Linked DNA regions of Astyanax mexicanus. The protein of the gene in region 3 binds, or shares a complex with, the protein of the main gene of each other region. Links are inferred from orthologs where the notes say so. Each region holds a gene or a part of one and is shown on either strand. Other genes may lie near its edges.

What was found.
Region 1: the proteins of timm10 (region 3) and timm29 are in contact, whole or in part, in a cryo-EM structure (PDB 7CGP), measured with the Homo sapiens proteins. The link is inferred for Astyanax mexicanus from reciprocal best matches to the Homo sapiens genes TIMM10 and TIMM29. Residues at the interface, in NP_036588.1 of Homo sapiens: His30, Arg31, Lys32, Cys33, Pro35, Pro36, Leu43, Ser44, Lys45, Gly46, Glu47, Ser48, Val49, Arg53; in NP_612367.1 of Homo sapiens: Asp181, Asp183, Ile184, Asp186, Phe189, Leu192, Leu196, Arg197, Val199, Gln203, Leu204, Ser206, Asn209, Glu210, Leu212, Phe213, Asp214.
Region 2: the proteins of timm10 (region 3) and timm9 are in contact, whole or in part, in a crystal structure (PDB 2BSK), measured with the Homo sapiens proteins. The link is inferred for Astyanax mexicanus from reciprocal best matches to the Homo sapiens genes TIMM10 and TIMM9. Residues at the interface, in NP_036588.1 of Homo sapiens: Glu16, Met17, Asp20, Met21, Arg24, Ala28, Cys29, Lys32, Cys50, Arg53, Cys54, Ser56, Lys57, Tyr58, Asp60, Ile61, His62, Arg64, Met65, Gly66, Lys68, Leu69, Leu72; in NP_001291414.1 of Homo sapiens: Lys15, Leu18, Gly19, Tyr21, Asn22, Lys23, Thr25, Glu26, Cys28, Phe29, Leu30, Val33, Asp35, Phe36, Thr37, Thr38, Arg39, Glu40, Val41, Glu45, Thr46, Glu50, Leu53, Leu57.

The regions. Positions count from the first base shown.
Region 1 is NC_064426.1:9,774,390-9,778,143, reverse strand, and holds the start of timm29 (mitochondrial import inner membrane translocase subunit Tim29), read right to left. Parts: upstream 2,698-3,754; 5' UTR 2,606-2,697; coding exon 2,509-2,605; intron 1,279-2,508; coding exon 632-1,278; 3' UTR 1-631. UniProt on the Homo sapiens protein: Component of the TIM22 complex, a complex that mediates the import and insertion of multi-pass transmembrane proteins into the mitochondrial inner membrane.
Region 2 is NC_064421.1:18,426,267-18,430,020, forward strand, and holds timm9 (mitochondrial import inner membrane translocase subunit Tim9), read right to left. Parts: upstream 2,410-3,754; 5' UTR 2,316-2,409; intron 2,227-2,315; exon of another isoform or gene 2,172-2,226; intron 1,877-2,171; 5' UTR 1,860-1,876; coding exon 1,821-1,859; intron 1,724-1,820; coding exon 1,628-1,723; intron 616-1,627; coding exon 481-615; 3' UTR 177-480; downstream 1-176. UniProt on the Homo sapiens protein: Mitochondrial intermembrane chaperone that participates in the import and insertion of multi-pass transmembrane proteins into the mitochondrial inner membrane.
Region 3 is NC_064414.1:44,296,183-44,299,936, forward strand, and holds the start of timm10 (mitochondrial import inner membrane translocase subunit Tim10), read left to right. Parts: upstream 1-920; 5' UTR 921-1,073; coding exon 1,074-1,144; intron 1,145-3,754.

The DNA.
Region 1 (3,754 bases), on a different chromosome or scaffold from region 3:
CTCTCCGTCATGTTCAAAACCGCTCTGCTCAGAATATGAATGAAATATTGGAGAAACAAAATGTTCACAGAGCAGAATCTGGGGACCCTCAGGTAAAAACACTTAAACACACACAAAAAAAATCATAAACCTTCCTATAAGAAATGACGTTGTGGCCTGCTCTGTGGCCTGCCAGTGTTAAATCAGGGTTAAAGTTCTTTACCAAATCATTTTACTTTATATTTTACATTCATATATTTTCAAAAAATGGTTAATCTCACTGGAGATGCACAAATTAGTAGCAAGGAACAGGCCCACGTCTCTACCAACACACCACCTCACCAAGGTTTTGTCAAAAAAAAAAAAAATATTTTGCTGAGCCTTGAATAACAATTTTGTAGCACCTTTAGTTTTAAGATTAAAGTATTAACATACAGTATAGCAATACATGACATTTTTTGTCCCAGAATTCCAACAACACTATATAAACTGAAGTCCATGTCCAGAGAAATGCGCTTTCCCTTCCGGGCTGCTGCTCACAGATTTATCTGATCATATGTGACATGCCTCCAGTCCATATGTCCATGCCAGCACACGTCCTTTAGTGAAGCACATCAACGCTTAGGTGCATCTGTTCTTACACAGTTTTCTCTCATCCTTTCGCCACGATCTCCCCCTCTTTCTGTACACTCACTGCACCATCTGCCGTTTCCTCCTCTACCTCCATCACCAGCGCCTTCAACGAATCTCTGTGCAGTCTCTCATTCCTCTCAGTCTCCTGCACTGAAGGGGGAGCTGTGGCCACCAAAGCCGGAGAGAGATGCTTAAACTCTTCCTCGTTAATGTCATAGTCCTTCATCTTCTGGTGCAGTACCCACCAGCGTCCAGCGAAGCCCACGTCCAGCATGCGCCCGGGCAGCTCTGCCCAGGGCACAGACAGAGCCGAGCACTGAGCCTCGTACAGGCTGCTCTCAGGGTCGTAGCTCACCACGTAGGTCACCGAGGCCACGCCCAGACTAAGGTAGCGCAGTCGACCTTCATTACGCAGCCTCACCAGGTTCTGCACGTGACCATCTGACATCCCGCTTCGTATCCATGGTGACAGAAGGGCCAGTTTATTGGAGGTTTCTAGCAGATCAGTCTGGAAGGACGTGTCATCTGGATTTGTTCGATAACAGAAATACGCCCCCCCCAGCAGGACCGCGTAAGCTGAGGCTTTAAAGGGACGCTCCCGTGCTCCAACAACCACCTCCCGGCAGGCCTCCTTGTAGTCACCCAAAAGACTACGGCACCACACACCTGCAAAAAGGACATTTTAACTGGTTTTACTGGAATAGGATTTTATAATAGCAAAACATATGAAAACCAAAAATATTGATTTTTAATGGTTAATTAACATGTCTACTTTTAATACTCCTACCAAAGTAGAGTGTAGAGTAGAGGGCAAAACCTTTACTAAACTCTACTAGATATCTGCAGTTTCTGCAGCAGTGCACAATATGAACATAAATGCAACATACGATGACACCGTATCCCAAAATGAATGTGGAACACAATAAATTAAGAACATAAATTAGCTCTTTAAATGTTTTTAAAAATGTTACTTTTATTTTATTTTGTAGTAGTTTGGTGTGTGCTCTACCACTAGTGGAGCTCTACTCTGCCTCTAGTCTAGTTAGGTCATGTAAGCACAGTCTGCAGTGTGAATAGCTCCCTCTGTGGATGTGGAGGGTTTGAGAATTCAGTGTGAACTTAATTATTAAATGTGTTATTTTCTTTCTGTCAGCCATAGCTGAAAATCATACATCTCATTTTTACATTCCATTACATTACTGTTGTATTTTTCTACTAACACAATGTCTTCTATTGTTTGGACTTTTTTCGACCCAGTGGAATTAAACTAAACAGGAATGATAGTAAAGTGAATTAAACCCGATATAGAATACCATATTCTGCAATTGTTCTTCAGTAAGAGCAGGATGTGACACTAAGTGGATCTTTTTGCCTGATTTTATTAGATGGCATTTTTGATACATCTTACTGATCCTCTCTCCTGGTTTTGAATGTGCTATAAGCTGTAAGGTGCCACTTCTTTTAAAATTTACAAGTAAAATAATTTGTTAATATCTATTAATCTATCCATATATCTTCGATATTAAATTTACAATGTAAAAAAAAGAATGAAAGAAGTGTGTCTTTCATGTGTCTAATAACCTAAAAGACCTTGGTAATGGAGATGCAAGAGCGTTTGTGTTAAGAGGAGAACATATATTTCAGTTTTGACCTACAGTTAGTGTTAAACATGTGTTTATTCTCACCATTTGGGCATAATTAATATAAAATTAAATTAAGGATCAGAGTTTCTACTGAATTATATTATGTTATTATTATATATATTAATTAACTGATTCTACTGTCGGGCAGTAGACTGCTTCTCCTCTCCAGTTCTGCAGTAGATCAGCAGCTGCTGATCGGGTTAATAATAAAGAGTATATTTAATCTGTATGTCTCGGTAGGTAAAGCGCTCACCCACGCGGCCGCTCTTCAGCCTCTCCCACCGGCTGCCCTTGCCCTGAGCCTCCGCTGCGGTGGAGCAGAGCCTCCTGAAAACACACGAGGCAGCCATGACAGTCCGAACACACGCTGATCAGCGGCTCAGTGCTCTCAACTCAACCGGAACCGATACCGCCGGCTCTGTTTCCACACGGCCCCCCCACACAACACGCCCACTGGCGAAACCACTGAGCCGAAATGGCGCAGGCTCGGTCAAAGAACCTGTAGACCACTTTAAAACCTCTTTATGTCAGACCACCAGAGGGCGCTCCCGAGTCCTAAATGAATAGGTTCAGATTGTAAATGTTTGCTAAATTTTTAAACCGAAAAATGTGATTAGTTCCTCAACATATCAAATGTTAATGCCAAATACAAACTTTTAAAGTCCACTTGGAAACATTTAAAACATGTGCTGGCTGTTACTTCAGCACTTCTGTAGCAGTGATGCTACCAAATCTGTTGTTCAAATTACGAAATTACGAAATTTAAGCAATATCCTGGACACGTAGTTAATGATCGTTTTTACCGAGTTTTTAACCATTCAACCCCCCTCCCTTTATTTATGGCTCACTCGCAGGCTCCCTCTAGCGGTTATCCCTTATTTTCTGATAACGGAGGAGAGCGGAAGTAGATAGGCTTGCTCTAAACCAGCTCTGGCGTGGTTTGGAGTTGGTGGTCCGATAGGGGGACCATATCAACGGTTTTTACGTTCCACTCTGATTTTTCTCTGTCAGTTTTTTTCTTCCTTTTTTAAAAATTAGGTTTTAATTTTGCGATCAGGGGATATGGATTTTAAAGTATAGGTGTAAAGGATTGTATCTCCTTTTTGCTAGCATTACTGTTACTGTGTGCTAACTGATTGGTGTGCTAACACTGGATTTACAAAGCACATTTAGTCAAAGCACATTTAAAAGGCTTATAAATTAAGTTTAAAAGCTTGAAACATTTTATATAGTTATGTGTTAATATATATGCGTATATGTATACGATTTACTCGCGAGCGTCCTCTGGTGGACTGTCAAATCCAGAAGAGATTAATAAGTGGGTATTCTCCTCTGTATAAGCTCTCTGCTACAAAAACAGTTAACTTACAGATTTCTGATTCTGAACACAGAACAAAACATTTTAAAAACTTAAAACCCGTCGTAATCTGCCACAGATACACAATGTGCCGTTTCCGTGGTTTTCATGCTTTATTAATAATTCGACTTAAGATTATTTT
Region 2 (3,754 bases), on a different chromosome or scaffold from region 3:
CAGGCTAAAACTTTCTTCAAGCAGAACAGATAAACCATTGCACAGCCTGTGCAGCTCTTGTCTTTTGCTGTTTGTGAATTTTTTAACCATACGCTAACACAGCAAGTAAGCTCAAACTGCACTGCACCTAGCATTTATCTTAGTCACTTTTTTTTAGACATGAATAGCACAGAATATAAAGAAGTTATCTTGCTGCTTTTTTATTCTTGTTAGATGCAAAGATTTACATTTAAAAACAAACAAACAAAAAAACACTATCTTCACATTTTGCCCAAGCCATGACCAAGTCTATCGAGCCTCTTCCTCCGGGAGAATCTTGGGAAACAAAGGTCCTACCAGTGCTGAGGAGCTGAACCAAACAGAGAACCTTGACAGTGTGCGTAGCCATGTTGTTCCAATATGGAGATTCAGCCTCCTAATAGGCATGGTGAGAATTACAGCCTGAGGATATCAGAGTCCGTAAGAAAACACAGCAATAGACTACCGTGGCTGGCCTAGTAAACCAGCTTTGGCTGCCAGAGCCTCGTTCTGTTGGATGTGATACTCCTGGAAGCGCATGGAGATCCGCTGGGTCATTTTTAGATACTTCTGTAGACAGCTCTCAGAGCACGAGGTCTGAAAAGAACAAGATACAAGAGTGATTTCCAATTTTTTATTCAAACATACTTAAGATTTATTCAGACAGGCATCTCCAAACTGATTTAGTTTAGATCATTAAAGATTTTAACCTAAAACCTGTTTCATAAACCAGATCCAGCAATGTGCTGACTGGGTCAGATGAAAATCTCCCTCTTGCTGCCAAAACAGCTTTGACCGGTCAAACTGACCAGTCGGGCTTGGACTAAAGATCTGGCAGCATTAACTTTAAGTAATATAGGGTTCAGCAGTTCTTCTGTGGGATTAAACCAGACAGTTTAAGTTTGCTCACCACACACATCAGTGAGCCTCTGGGACTCATGACCTTGTTACCAGGGTTCCTTAGTAGCACTTTTGATAGGCACAGTAACATTTTTTGAGATGCTGACACCCAGTCATTTAGCCAGTTTTTTTTCACATTTTAGTGCTTTTCCTGTTTTTTACTGTTGATTTTTTTGTATTTTTATATTCTCTTCTGTTTTTTTTGTGTATAGATTTCATATATTGTTTGACACTTCTCCTCTGCTGTAACGTAGCAATTTCCCTGCTGTGGAATTAAAGGATTTTCATATCTTTGAGTATGAATACTGGTACACAGTGTAATGTAACATACTGTTATTATAGTGGGTATTCTGACTATAATTAATGTGGATCACGAAACAGCACTTATGGTTTGAATGGATTCTGCCAGTATACTGCACAACAAAAACTGATCACCTATATAAAAGGATTAACACATTTATTTACAGAACTTTATGCAGAGTATTTAACAACTGCATATTGTAATAAGGTCTAAAGTGGTATGGAAAGTTTCGGTTTGGATATGGATTTTTATATTGTCACCAACCCTGCTCCTGAAGATCTGCTTTTCTGACAGCATAATCCCTCAATAATTTATTTCAGAAGTTTAAATGGGCCTGAAGTGAAAACCCTCCCGTTTCTTAAAGCAAACACTTAACATGTGTAGTATTAATCTTGCCTAGTGTCTTACCTCTTCTGCCTTCACTTCTCTAGTAGTGAAATCTTTAACACAATCCATGAAGCAGTTCTCTGTCAGCTTGTTGTAGGTGCCCAGAAATTCCTTGAACTGAAAATCAAACCCAAGCAGAACATAAAGGAGAATTCAGTGATGTTTAAGTGGATAAAGAGACGCTTATGTCTGTAAAAGGTAGGGTGTACAGTACCTGTTTGATCTGGTCTGATTCTGTAACTTGGGCAGCCATAGTTTAAAGAGTGGACTCTGGAGAATAAACAGAATTAACAGAAAATGATTTAACCGAAATTCCACAATGACATCTAACAACACAAGCACTCTTCATTTAAACTATATTTATTAATATGAATTCATAGCACAAGTTACACTTTATAAGCAGCATTTTTATCTCGCCAATAAAAACAAGAAGTATTTTAAACGGCCTAATAAAAATAAACTAATAATACTACATAGTATAAAGTCTATAACAATTAATTCCCCATACTGGCCCTGCTGCTTATTCTAGCCACCATGCAGTGAGCGTTAGCCTTCTGCTCTATACCTTATTTCTTTAGCTGGTTAGCAGCAGCAGCAGCAGCAGCGGAAGCCCACAGACACTATACAAATAAATTACGCTGCTCTGTATCATAATGTTTGTAATTTAATAGTGTAAACGGTACAGAGCGAAAACCCGTCGCTACATTACCTCAGTCTGCACCTGGAAGCTCGAGCCTGCGGACCCTCTCTGAAGGACATGTGACGCTGTGGACAAGAGAAAGAACAACCGGCGCTTCACTGCGGCACTTTCGCTGCAACAAGGCAAATTCATTCATTTCTTCACGATGATTGATAAATATTAAAATGTAAAATTGCTTTTAAATATTTTGATATATTTAAAATAATTGAAAGAAACATGTAACAAAAATGATTAGTGTATAAACTGTCTCACTGAGTTCTGAAATAATAATATATTCTCTAAGTCATATATTTACACGAAAATGGCTTTTGAAATCACACTATAGATCATCTATAGGTCGCTGTACGTTAGTGACGTACAAAAGGAGGCGAATTATAACGTTTTATTTTTTGCACTAAAATGTAAAAGAACTGTAAGAATTTGTGATGAACTCTCACTTGCCTCTGGTTAATATATAATTTTATTTATTTTGATTTTCTTTCTTTTTTCCTTTTCTTCAGTTTGTATATTTTTAATGCTGTCTTCTATCGTTGTTTCTTGTATTAACCTGAAACTTTAAAGAATACAATATTCAATATTGTTTACTTAGGGATATAATCACATATAAATACACACACACATATAATAATAATAATAATAATAATAATAATAATAATAATAATAATAATAATAATAATAATAATAATAATAATAATAATAATAAACACGAATATAAAAAAATAAAATTAAATAAAATCAAAATAAAGGGACAAGCAAGGGGTAAATTTAAGGGCATTTTTACCACCCATAACTTTTAAAGATTTATAGTATAAGGCTAAATCATTTCTAAATGCTAAGTTTTAAAAAAATGCGCTCATGTATGTAATATTGTTAACTACAAATGATCTGTATGTCTGGGCTTTCTTAAAATAGGAATCATTCTTTTTAAATTAACAATTTATAAAGATTATAACATAATATAATAATAACATACACACTTTTCGGTTTGAAGAACTATTTCTGAACGTTACACTTAACATTCTTGGGAGGTTCAGTCCGTGATTTGTTTTTGGATGTTCTGGATGTGGATATGTCAGTGTTTTAATTTGTAGTTTTAGAATATTACTTTTAGTGTTATGGAAACGTCGTCTATCTGGAAACGTTTTAATACCGTTGTGATGCAAACCATTATTGTGTCACACCTTTTTTAAGAACGTTCCTAGAACATTGTTTCTGTAACGTTACAAAGTTACCGTTCTAATAACGTTAGCTGTCAGCTGGGGGTGCAGCTTGCAGGGCGAGGTTACTTTTATTTTGAAATTGAACTCAGTGGCGCGCGCTGCGGTTTCTGAATTCATATCTGTTGTCAACTTTGTTGTCAGCAACAGTTGTTGTGGATGCAGAGCAGTAAGGCATTATTAGTTCAGTTTCAGGTGTAGTTAGTACAGTGTTCACAGGCCAGGCCGCTT
Region 3 (3,754 bases):
AGTAAATAATGTTGAAAGCCATATCTAACATCCACTATGCTGGTCAAAAGCTGGTTCAACTTTTTTTTTCTTCTAATTCTAAACTCTTAAGGACTACCACTGTCCCTAGTAATGCTCCCATCGCTCTGTGGACATACAGCAACCCAGCTCTGATAGATACATCAGCTAACAGACACCTGTGCTGCTGACCGACATCATCATGGTAGTGATAAAGGGGGGAGAGCATAGCCAGTTGTGCTCTCTTTGACTCCGGCTGCTGATGGCAAGCAGGATGACTGCAGATTTGCAAATTGAGCATCTTAAAGACCAGCTGATAAATCTCAAATTTATCAGAACCTGATTGAGCTGGATTTTTCAACAGGGATGTGTATTTTACTGGGCCACAAAATACTGTGATTTCTCTTTTTATTTTTATAGTTTATTAATTTAATTTTATTTATATTTTTTTGGTTGTTTGTTTCTTTCAAAAAGGCTATATAATGTTTGGGAAAGATTAAAAAATGTTACGGAATTGCCCATTTGAATCCCAGAGTATTTTTGCTATCAGCAGCCAGAGTCAGAAAGAGCACATGCATGTTTGCACAGTTGTTTAACCTCTTAACAGGCCAGGATTTTTTTTTATCAATTGTCTTCCTTACATTACGCCACTAAATCCTGAGTGTTTCTATTTAAACATTACATAAAAAGCTTTCATGTTTCATAAGGAACATTAGAGTGAAAACAGGCAGATTCTCCAAGTGTCCTGTGCAATTTTTCAGAATGTAAATAAGTTATTTTTCTACAAAAAAATGTTTTTTTTTTATCAACTTACGAGGCAAGGCCTGTTAAGGGGTTTAAAGGGCATATTTAAAAAATAATAAATAAAAAAACCTTATTGCACAACACTGACATCAGTCGGTTCAGAGTGGTAACTGCAGTGAATCAGAGGGAGCCATGTTGACCCAGGAAGCAGTGTGAGAGCTGGGCGGCCCCACGTGTGCAGCTCTCCGGCTCTGAAGGTTAAACGCGCTGTCGGTTCTGTGAGAAGCGGAGAGTCCACGGTGGAGGAGAAGCCGGAGACCCCAGCTACAGAGATGGACCCCATGAAGGCACAGCAGCTGGCGGCGGAGCTGGAGGTGGAGATGATGGCAGACATGTATAACCGGTAATATGAACAGCCTGTACTTTACTAGCTTAGCTTGCTTTGTTACCCTGCCTAGCATGGGGTTTAGCCACTGAATCATTTGATTGAGTCCGGGGGTTCGGCTCTTCTCTGTATTCCTCTCTTTATTAACCATAATCTTGATTTTTCTAACTTTGTTTCCTTTGCATACATAACATTTTTTTTTAATATTCACATTTTTAAACGGTGCAGCACATTGATATACTTTTGTTTTACTGTTTAAATGCATTGCTAGCTGTTAAAGCAAGCTGACTAGTATTTAGACTGTAGAATATTTTAGTTTCTACATAACTTGTTCTTCTGGTAAACACTGATGATAAACATTTCTATTATAGACCACCAGCCATTTGGCATGGTAGCTTAGTGTAATCTTGTTAGTTTGAATGGGGGATTCTAATAATAATTCTAACCCAATACCTTCTGAAGATTCCTTGCTGCTCCTCCTCTTTTATCACTAAGGAACTGCAGCCACTCTGCAGCTAATAGCAGAATGATTGTAGAGTTTTATAAATATATCTTGTAATTGATTTTCCCATGGTAAAATACAGTAAATGAGCAGCCCAAACGTTTCCAATAGTGTCAAGGTCCGTGACCTCCTTCTCCTTCAGTGTGTCCTCCTCAATGATGCAACAATGATTCTTCACGAGTCAGGTCACCCCTAAAAGAAAAGCATTCTTTACCTCAAGGGTAATTAGCCCCCCACTTACTTACAGGTACTAAAGGGTGACATCCAGCATAACTCAGTGGTTTCCTTGCTCAGACACTCCAGATTTAAATTGTTAGTCAATTAGGTACAATGATGGTAAATTTGAGCAGGACAGCCACGAGTTTTCTACATACCCACTCTACACGTTTTGAGTATACGCTTTGGCATTAAGAGTTTAAATCACCATCTAAATACATCACAGAACTGCAAGTGAATTAAGTATATATATTTTAAAAGTATACTTAACTTGGAAAAAACATACTAAAATTAAAGTATGTACTTAAATGCATATTAAATGTGCTACTTTGGCAATAGTACTTGTAGTAACTTGAGTATATTTCAGTTGTAATTAAAGGTAAGCTATATTTAAACACAACATAAAAGCATTACATTTTGTATTTGAGTGTTTTTTTCGTACAACTTCTGCAAACCTAAGTAGATTTAGGTATTTGTTTTTAATACACTTGAAGTATATTATAAATGTACTACTTTGCTTATTGATGCCCATATTGTGTACACCTTAATAGTACTGGGGGGAAAAACACACTAAAATGCACTTTGAGCAGTATTTAATGCCACTATATATTAATTATGGAAATACAGAGAATGTTTATTTAATGTGTATTTTCATAAAGTATATTAAATTGAAAATGCACTTTTAGTATTCTTTACCTAATTTAAACATACTTTTAATACTCTTAAGTATACTTCATTTTCACAAGGGTAGTCCTAACATTTTAAAGGTGGATGTTTACAAAACAAACAGGAGGACAGATCCAGAATCCAGAGTTAATTTCGCTATGTGTTCAAGAAGCTCTGGGCCTGCTACAGAAGGTCTGAATGGAAATGGTTTGCTGATACCAGCAGAGTATATATCGGCAGATTGGGAACTGTTCAAAGCCTTTCTCTGTCAGATTTAAACAGAACTTAAATTCAGAGTTAAGTCTGTTCAGTAGGATATTAGCTGAGGAACATTCCTATTTGACAGTCTTGTAGATTGTAGATTATTGTAGATGTCCTTTCCCTTTGAATGCATCATGTATTCTCATGGCTGGTATCTGATCACAAATAGTTGCCGTGACACCACTGTTTAAACGGTGATAGCGGCATGTATTGATCTTTCTGTGGTACAAAAAAAAATTGAATCCCTCGGGCTGTTATGGATCACATGGCTTCAGGAATGAATGTAAGGATTTTAATATTTGGTCCTTGTTGCTTATTTACATAAACGAGATAGATGACCCTTAGAAGAGTATATTTTAAAGTCAGATGGGCAAAATGGCAAAACTATTGTTAGAATTCGTAAATGTTTTTCACATACTGCAAAAATAACTAACAGTACTGCCAGATTAAAACTTAAATACACTAATTGCAAATCCAAATTTTCAGTTTGTGTGGGCTTTAACAGAACTAATTCTACTTTTCTTTTTCTTTTCTTTTTTAATTAAACCCTGTATACAGGGTTCGTACGGTCATAACAAACTTGGAAAAGTCATGGAATTTGAACATAGAAATTTCCAGGCCTGGATAAGTTTTGGAAAAATTAAAATACCTAGAAAAATTTTAAAAAGTCAATTGTGAGCTAATCAGTAAATCATAAGGCATTGACATACTAAATATGCAGAAATGTTATTCAGCTAGTAAAATGTCATGTTTCAAAGTTTGTTTTTTTTAAGGAAAAATATAGGCCTACTATAATCAGTTTTGACATGGATTTTTTATTTATTTAAATTTTTCCATGTCTGTACTGATGTTTTAAAGAGTGGATGGTCATGAAAATTTACTTTTGAAGGCATTTGTTTGGAGTTCTGATATTAGTAATCATGCTTATATGAGCATATTGTGTATGTCAGTGGAAAATTCTGGTATTTATTTTCCTGTGTGTT